Sus scrofa: one gene and its partner. The protein of the gene in region 1 purifies or fractionates together with the protein of each later gene. This does not show direct contact. Links are inferred from orthologs where the notes say so. Each region holds a gene or a part of one and is shown in the gene's direction. Other genes may lie near its edges.

Region 1 (3,814 bases):
GTAAATTAGCAGCTGGCTATTTAAAATAAGGAAAGCGACATAGCTCTTGGTTTCCTCTAGTCCCCATTGTCTTAGCTATGGATGCCATTAGCTAAAAGGTTCTCATGCCACTTACAATGTTAAAAATAATAGAAACTCCACACTTCATACTCCCCGCCCCATTTAGTTTTTTAAGTGATCCTCTCGCTTCTCTAACTAGTTGACTTTTATTGTGGAAGTGAATAGGCCATAAGGTGGGACCTTGGGATATCTGTGCTGGCAGCAGTGCTGTTGGTTTACTCACTCTTTTTCTGTCTTCATTTTTGCATGCCACTGCTCCTGCCTCTTACAGCCACAGTAGAAGCGGTAGAGGCCCGGGAAGGTATGGCCATATTCCTCTGATAGATGTGATCATGTGTCTGTCTACTAGTTTTAAAAAGCTTTGTCAACAGTTGAAATCTTTTATTATTGCATCACCAGAACTGTAACAGTGAGGATAGGAATAGATATCTCCAGGCATGCTCACAAAGTGTTTCCTTCGTGTCGTGTATTTGTATTAATTTAAATGACCCTCTCCACAGCTAAAGGCCTTTCTGGGCCCTATCAGTTTTAATGCAAGGGCTGAAGCTTAAGCAGCTGGTCATGAGGGGTCAAGTGATATCATCTCATAGCCCTTCTGCATCCAAGAGGCATCCATTTGGTTATCAGAGATTCAAGCCATCCGCCTCTTTATCTAATGATTCCAAAGCATATCAAGAGTGGAGACAAAAGTAGATGGGAATTTGATTTGTTTCTGAAGTTTCCCTAAGTCAGTCAAACTAAATTATCTTTGTCTCTATGAAAGCAAATTTAAAGTAACAAATTGTCTATAAATCTGAGGATAAAAACCATTGGACTTCATAAACTGGTGTCATCAATTTAATTGTTCTGTGAGATAAGGTGGTTCACAATGCGAATGCCTTTCCTTGGTGATACAAAAAGTTCAGTCAGAAAGAAAATATCTAGAATTGATCTTTTAGATGGCTTTTAACTTATGTTCAGCTCCTGGTTGTGCAAGATAAAACACTGTCCTTCTAAGCAAACAGATTCGCTCTTTTGTTACTTTTTTGTGTGGTTGATGTGATGTTTGTGTTAGAGTAACTACTCTGCTTGACTTGTTCTACTGTTCTAGTGTTGCCTTTTTTCTCTCTCACTGAGCACGTTTCTGGCCCATAAGAGACGCTTTCAAATGTACTGGGGCTTTTTGTCAGGTTTACTTTTGCTGTGATTAATTGTATTGAGCTTCAGTGAAAATTACTTTGACAGTTTCAGTGGCCCTTTGGGCTTTAAGGAAGCAGTAGCTTCAGCCAAGGCTAATTGAAATCAAATATTGCCCATTCCTTCACCAGACATGTGCTCCACAGCCACCATTCTATGTTTTTCTCTAGGAGGTTCGTATGCTAAGAACTTAGAGTCCCTTTGCTGTCTAATTGAGCTCCTCCTTTTCCTGTTTTTCTGTAGCCATCAGAGGGTTTTCGCTTCAGCACAGGATCCGCAGTTTTGAAGAAGCCCGAGGTCTGGACCGAATTAATGAGCGGATGCCACCCCGCAAAGATAGCCAATACTTTGATGGGCCAGTGAAATTGGTAACCCCTGTCCAAGCAAACGCCGTGCACAGGAACGACAGGGGGAGAAGAGCCAGTAATGACTCGGAGCCCAGCAGTGGTACAGGAGGATCCAAAACTTAAGAACACATTTTACTTATTTATTATTGGGAAACAAAACAAAAACAACTTAAACCTGGAGGTGCATTTATCCTGTAAGAAAGGTGACCGTTTTGTAAATTCTTTTAATTTATGTTGAATATATATAAAAAGTGCATCTGTTTTGTTTTTCCCTTTTCCCCCTGATTTTTAGGAACTGATCCGATTGCCTGATACATATGTGAAGTCTTGTGCTATAAAGGGGACCGTCCCCTAATAAAAGGGCCTTGGAAACCTCCACCCTGGGTTTCTGACTTGAACAACTAGCCAGCCTTTTCTCTTGTTTTTGGATGCTAAAATCTTTCATTTCAGACTAAGCGCTTTTCAAACACAGAAGGGTTTTTTCTTTTTCCTTTCTATAGGGTACCACTGAAGAAGATCTCTTAAATTTCAGTGGCTAGAATTTCTCTTCTTACGGAAAACTTGATTATAGAACTTCTAAGTGAATAACCCAAATGCAGTGATTTTAAAGGGCCAAGGGAAATGTTTTCCATAATAACCCACTTTTCTCTGGACTCAGTTATTCTGACTGTATTCTAGTACACCAAAATAAAAAATAATGAGGGGTTTTCCTAGAATTACTTAAAATTTGTTCATCTAACCATGAGCATGATTGATTGAAACTTCCCTTAGAACTTTGGAGGTTTCTTAAATGTTGCCACATCCTTTTGCTTTTATTTTTGAACCCTGGGTGACTTAGTCCATCTGCAAAGGAAGCAACAGTTCTAAATATTTTATAAATGCCCTGTGTAGAACCTTGAACGGTCAGACCGTTCTGTGTGTATACCCTTCTGTGTTACTGCACCAGCTCCCACATCTATTCTCCTCAGCATCCATCTGTTTTTCTGTGTCAGCATTTTTGAAACCAACTAGGGTAATGGAAACTGACTAGGTTAGAATGGTCCCCTTGCCAACTGGAAGTCTTGCTGAAGGGCATTGGATGAGTGAGGATTTCCTGTCCATTAATTACTGGGATGTTTCTCCATTTCTCAACACTCATTAGGTTGAATTGTGTGTCAGTCTCTGGCAGCCTGTTTTGGAATATGGAAACAATTGTTCAGATACAATATTTGAATAATCTTCCTTTAGTTTTTCAAATCACAATCAACCCCATCGTGGCTCAGTGGTTAACAAACCCGACTAGTATCCATGAGGACTTGGGTTTGATCCCTGGCCTGCTCAGTGGATTAAGGATCTGGCGTTCCTGTGATCTGTGGTGTAGGTCGAAGACACAGCTTGGATCCGGAGTTGCTATGGCTGTGGCATAGGCTGGCACCTGTAGCTCCAAGTCAGCCCCTGGGCTGGGAACTTCCATATGCCATGAGTGTGGCCCTAAAAATACAAGACAAAAAAAAGTGAAGGAAATTTCAGGGATCCTTAGGCTCCCATTTGTGGTTTAGCCTGGTGACAAGTGCCATGTCATAATACTCATTGGTCAGCTTTACATTGAGTGTACATGTCTGGGCGACACCACATCAAAGTGCATACTGTGGGATTAATGTCATTTGGCACAGGTGTCCGGCATTGAGGCAAGTATCTCAGAAAGTAGTAATTTATGTTTGGAGCTTCATGGACACCATTTTCAAAACCGTAATTTCATGAGAAGAATGATTTAGCCCATCTATCTCTGTTTCCTTCTGCCTTGCTAACAATTCCTGATTTGTTTATGACTGAGATCAAAGCATGTGGGGATTAGAATCTGGTGGCATAGTTTGTTCTGTTAATCAAAAAGGTAGGATATTGGGAAGGAGATGGAAGATCTCTTAGCAGTGTGTGAGTAAAACGTTTGAAAGAAAGGAGAAAAAGTCTCAAGCAGTTGTCTTTACTGACCATCATTTCTTTATAACCAAAGAGGAATTCATCACTTGCATATCCTCATACCCCTCCCTCCCCCAAGCCCAGTACAGAAACGGCTGCTGCTTTGGAAATCTCACTAATGTGCAGGTCAGTTCACGGGACAGGTTTGACGGACAGGACTCCCTGATCCCTTTCTCTTTCCATTGAGGCTACTGCTGTACATACACACGCACAAGGAGAAGCCCTGAGCTTCACTCTTAAGGGCTTCACTCAGCAAGGCACATAGTGAAATAGTT
Region 2 (4,292 bases), on another chromosome or scaffold:
CGTATTTTACAGACTTAAACCCTTCTTCCTGACCCAGATCCCAGGTACTGAGTGCCTGACAGCACTGACATTGACCTTCAGTTTGCTTCACTTTGCCTCAGAGGGGGCTATGTGTGAGAGATCAGAGCTGATTTTCTTCTAAATGCACACCCTTAAGACAAATTCCTTTCCTGTTCTGTGCCTCTGTTTCCTTGTCCGGGAACTAAGGGGACACAGGCTCCCTTCCAAGCTTGGCTCAGGTACCTTGTAAGAAAAATAATAATAAATTTTCTAAAAAAGAAAAGGAAGCCCCAGTCCTACTACTGTAACTTTGGACAACTCATTGAACAGCTTAGGCCCTTCGTCTTTCTGTTGGTAAAATAGGCATAATTATGCCCTACTGTCTTCCAAGGCTTCTCAGAGAAGCAAGCAAGACCGCCCTGAAACTATTCTGCAAACGGGAAATAAGCATTAGAAATGTAAATATTATTAGCATTGTACAAACGATGAAGAGGAGGGGTGGGTGGAGGCAGCAAAATCCGGTAGTGGTTCAGGACCCAGGATAAGGAATAGCACCCACTCCGATGCAACCTACAGCTCAGCCCCCTAACTAGCTGCCTCTCCTCGGGCAATTAAGCATTTGGGCGCCCTGCTCATCTATAAAAGGAGGATAATGACGTTCGGTTCGCTGGTTGCTGTGAGGTTAAACGAGGTAAATCTTGCAAAGCACGCGGTGCAGTGTACATAGTAGCTGGCCCTCAGTAAACGTTCATATTCCTACTCCTTGCGACGACACAATGGGGCCAGGCAGGAAAAGGAGCTAAGCTATTTCTAGTCATGGCGCAAGACAAGAAGATACCCAAAGGTCCCGTCGTCGGGGGCACCTAAAGAATCCGCCCTACGACAACCGCCCAAGCCCCTCACAAGCCTGTAAAGAGAAAACCCCAGGCTGCGTGCCAAGTGCGCGCGCGCGCGCGAGCGCGGCTAGACCTTCTCCCGCGGCCCCCCCCGCCCCCGCCAGCCCCACGGCGGCACGCGAGAGGCGGGGCCGCTTCCTGCCGGCGTCTGGGCCCCCGCACGCCCCCCGGCGGCCGACCTCGGGCGCCTGCGCTGCGCGGGCTCGCCGGAGGCGGAGGCGGAGGCGGGGCGGAGCCGGGCGGGCGCGGCGCCGGCCGCTTTTCTTGCCTAGACGCCGCTCGCGCCCCCGCCAAGGCGGCAGCTCCCGCCGGCGTCGAGGGCGTGGCGGCGAGGCTGCTGGCGGCCGGCGCGGCACCGACTCTTACCCCGCTGGCGTCCGCTGCGCCTCCCCAGGACCGGACCTTCGTGGCTCCTTGGACACTTTGCAGCGCGTCCGGCCTCTCCCTGCCTTCCTGCCTTCCTGCGCCCGCCATGCGCGCAGGTGAGTCTCCCCTTCGCAGGGTGGGGCCGGCGCCTGCTTCTCCGAGCAGGCTTAGCAGCCGGCACTGGGGAGGGTGGGGGGCATCGCGTGCAGAAAGTTAAAAAAAAAAAAAAAGGAAAGAAAAAAAAAAAAGAAACGGTCCACAGGTGCCCGGGATGGGTGGGCGCTCCTGTGCCCCATACTTCAGAGATGCTGCGCCTTTGCCACCCAGGTTCAGCCCCTCTCGCGTCCAGGGTCTTCTCTGGCAGCTCTGGTGTGGTGTCTTAGAAAACAAACCTAGAAAAATGTTCTCTCTCCCAACACCTGTTTGACTTTTGAAAAGCTGAAGGCCCAACCTGCTCCTGAAAGCAGAAGGGTGCGGTCAGTAAAAAAAAAAAACAAAAAACAAAACAAGGGTGGCCAAAAGTTGGAAGCCCTCCTTTTTTTTCTTGCTCTCCTTTCTCCGTGATGCCCAGGTAACCATCGTATGACTTATTCGATAACTTCTTGAAACTTGTCTGTCTGCTCCGTTTACTGCCTGGACCCATGGAGCAAGAGTGGTCTGTTTTCGGGTTGCCTCGTCCCAGCTTCCGTGCAGAATCAGATCGTCTCCTTCAGGGATTAGGAGTCTAGAGTAGGAAGCAGTTCAGATCCGTGTTGCAGATACAGACTGGGATTGTTAAAAGTGATGTTTCGGTGTAGTGCTCAAAGCCAAAAGTATTCGCTTCCTCTTTTTGAAAGTTACCTAGCACACCACGTTTATTTGAACTTTTAATAGAGGTCTCTGCTTTTCCTGCAAGTCTCTGATGTACCATTTGATGGGAGAAGCGATTTACTTATTTGTAGCTCTGATTACATAGGATTTAAAATGATTAATTTTAAGACTGTTCCATTAGCTCCGGTTCAGCATACTAAATTATAAAAACACAGTATTGAGACTCAGAATATAGATGTTTGTGGTATAACACAAGTTCATGCTTTTTGGTGGGGATTTTATATTGCTTTTCTAGACATAGACTTGATGCAGGTGGATGGTGAAAGGCCTGTAAACTCAGAGGCCCGTCTTTAGCCATGCTGTCAGCGTTATGTTTTAGCACTTGGGAAATCTTTTCTTTGAAGAGATTCCAGTGGTTTTCAGAAACCCAAGATTTTTCCCCACAATGGAATTGTCACATTTGTAAAGCTTTTAAACATGCGCCCATTAAGGGTTATGAATCAGTCTAAATTTTGTATGGTACTAGCCGGTATATGTTGGTTGAAAAATTTGGGTGAAACATCATGAAAAACAGTACGATTTGCAAATCCATTAGGCTGAAGCCTGTAAGACAATGGGAGCTCTGAAGTTCAACATCATTTGTTATTTAGACCCAAATGACCACAGAAGGTGGAGGTCAGACAGTGGATCTCCACTTTTCCTCCAGAATGTAGAGATGATAGTGAAGGGCAATGAATTACCTATGGCAAAACAAATAGCATCAATCTTTATATCTCTACTTCAATTATACTTTTTTTTTTTTTTTTTTTTTGTCTTTTTGCTATTTCTTTGGGCCGCTCCCACGGCATATGGAGGTTCCCAGGCTAGGGGTCGAATCGGAGCTGTAGCCACCGGCCTACACCAGAGCCACAGCAACTCGGGATCCGAGCCGCGTCTGCAACCTACACCACAGCTCACGGCAACGCCAGATCATTAACCCACTGAGCAAGGGCAGAGACCGAACCCGAAACCTCATGGTTCCTAGTCGGATTCGTTAACCACTGCGCCACGACGGGAACTCCCCAATTATACTTTAAAACCTATTGTTTTCATGTGTTCTGACAGTTGGTTTTCGTTATTTCTCTCTCTGCTGACAAGTACTTCACTGAACCTCAATAATTATAATAGGACCAATTCTAGATTATCTGTGAAAAGAGGGAATAGGTCATTGAAACATAGGAGATTCAAAAATCTAATTTTTACCTATTTTGCTTTACGGTTGCACCATTTTTTTTTTTTTTTTCTTTTACCACAGCTACTAAAAAGTCTAAGGTTCTGCCTGTAACTGGTGAATGAGGAGGATGGAGAAGAGAGAGAGGCTGGCTTGCTGCCTATTAGGAACCCCCCACATTGAAAATCCTGAGAGTTGTTTTGTTTTTGTTTTTGTTTTTAAAGAGAAACTTAGTCTAAATTTATAATTTAGAGGTTTGGGGGTTGTGGGATGGAAATCCTGTGAAATTGGATTGTGATGATCATTATACAACTACAGATGTGATAAAATAAATAATAAAATAAAAAAGAAGTTTTGGGGGTTTTGTTTTTGTTTTTCTTTTGGCCACACTCTTGACATGCAGAAGTTCCTGGGCCAGGGATCAAACCTGTGCCACAGGCTTAACCAGAGCCACAGCAGTGACAATGCTAGGTCCTTAACCCACTGAACAGTGAGGGAACTCCTGTAATTTAGGAATTTTTAAAAGGAATTTTTTTTCGGCATTCCCATTATTTCATTAGTGAATTAAATTTTTTTTTTTTTACTGATTTACAATGTTAGTTTCTAGTATACAGCAAAGTGTGTCAGTTATACATATATATTCTTTTTCATATTCTTTTCCATTATGGTGTACTATAGGATACTGATTATATAATTCCCTGTGCCATGCAATAGGACCTTGTTTATCCTTAAAAAGGATTTAGTAGTTCAACAGCATCTGTGAGTATTTTCCTTTTTTTTTTTTTGTTAAATGTAAGAGAACAAACGTAGTATTAAAAGCCAAATGAGTTTTCCACGGTTATTCAGCAGGACACTTGTAGAACTGGAAATGGGTACTCGTTTGCTTACAGTATTGATCAGTAGCATTTTGAGCACATCAATAAAAATAATAAAGTGCATCTAGCTAAGGTATTTTAAATATTCACCAAGTTGAGAAGCATACTGTTTTGGATTTTTTTTTTTTTAAATCC

The links.
Region 2: the proteins of PPP3CC (region 1) and RCAN3 purify together in Homo sapiens (affinity purification with mass spectrometry; 3 studies listed by BioGRID and IntAct, counting the BioPlex papers as one, with this or other methods). This does not show direct contact. The link is inferred for Sus scrofa from reciprocal best matches to the Homo sapiens genes PPP3CC and RCAN3.

What each region holds. Positions count from the first base shown.
Region 1 is NC_010456.5:6,791,662-6,795,475, forward strand, and holds part of PPP3CC (serine/threonine-protein phosphatase 2B catalytic subunit gamma isoform), read left to right. Parts: intron 1-331; coding exon 332-361; intron 362-1,479; coding exon 1,480-1,706; 3' UTR 1,707-3,814. UniProt on the Homo sapiens protein: Calcium-dependent, calmodulin-stimulated protein phosphatase which plays an essential role in the transduction of intracellular Ca(2+)-mediated signals. Dephosphorylates and activates transcription factor NFATC1.
Region 2 is NC_010448.4:82,185,202-82,189,493, forward strand, and holds the start of RCAN3 (calcipressin-3), read left to right. Parts: upstream 1-1,266; 5' UTR 1,267-1,378; intron 1,379-4,292.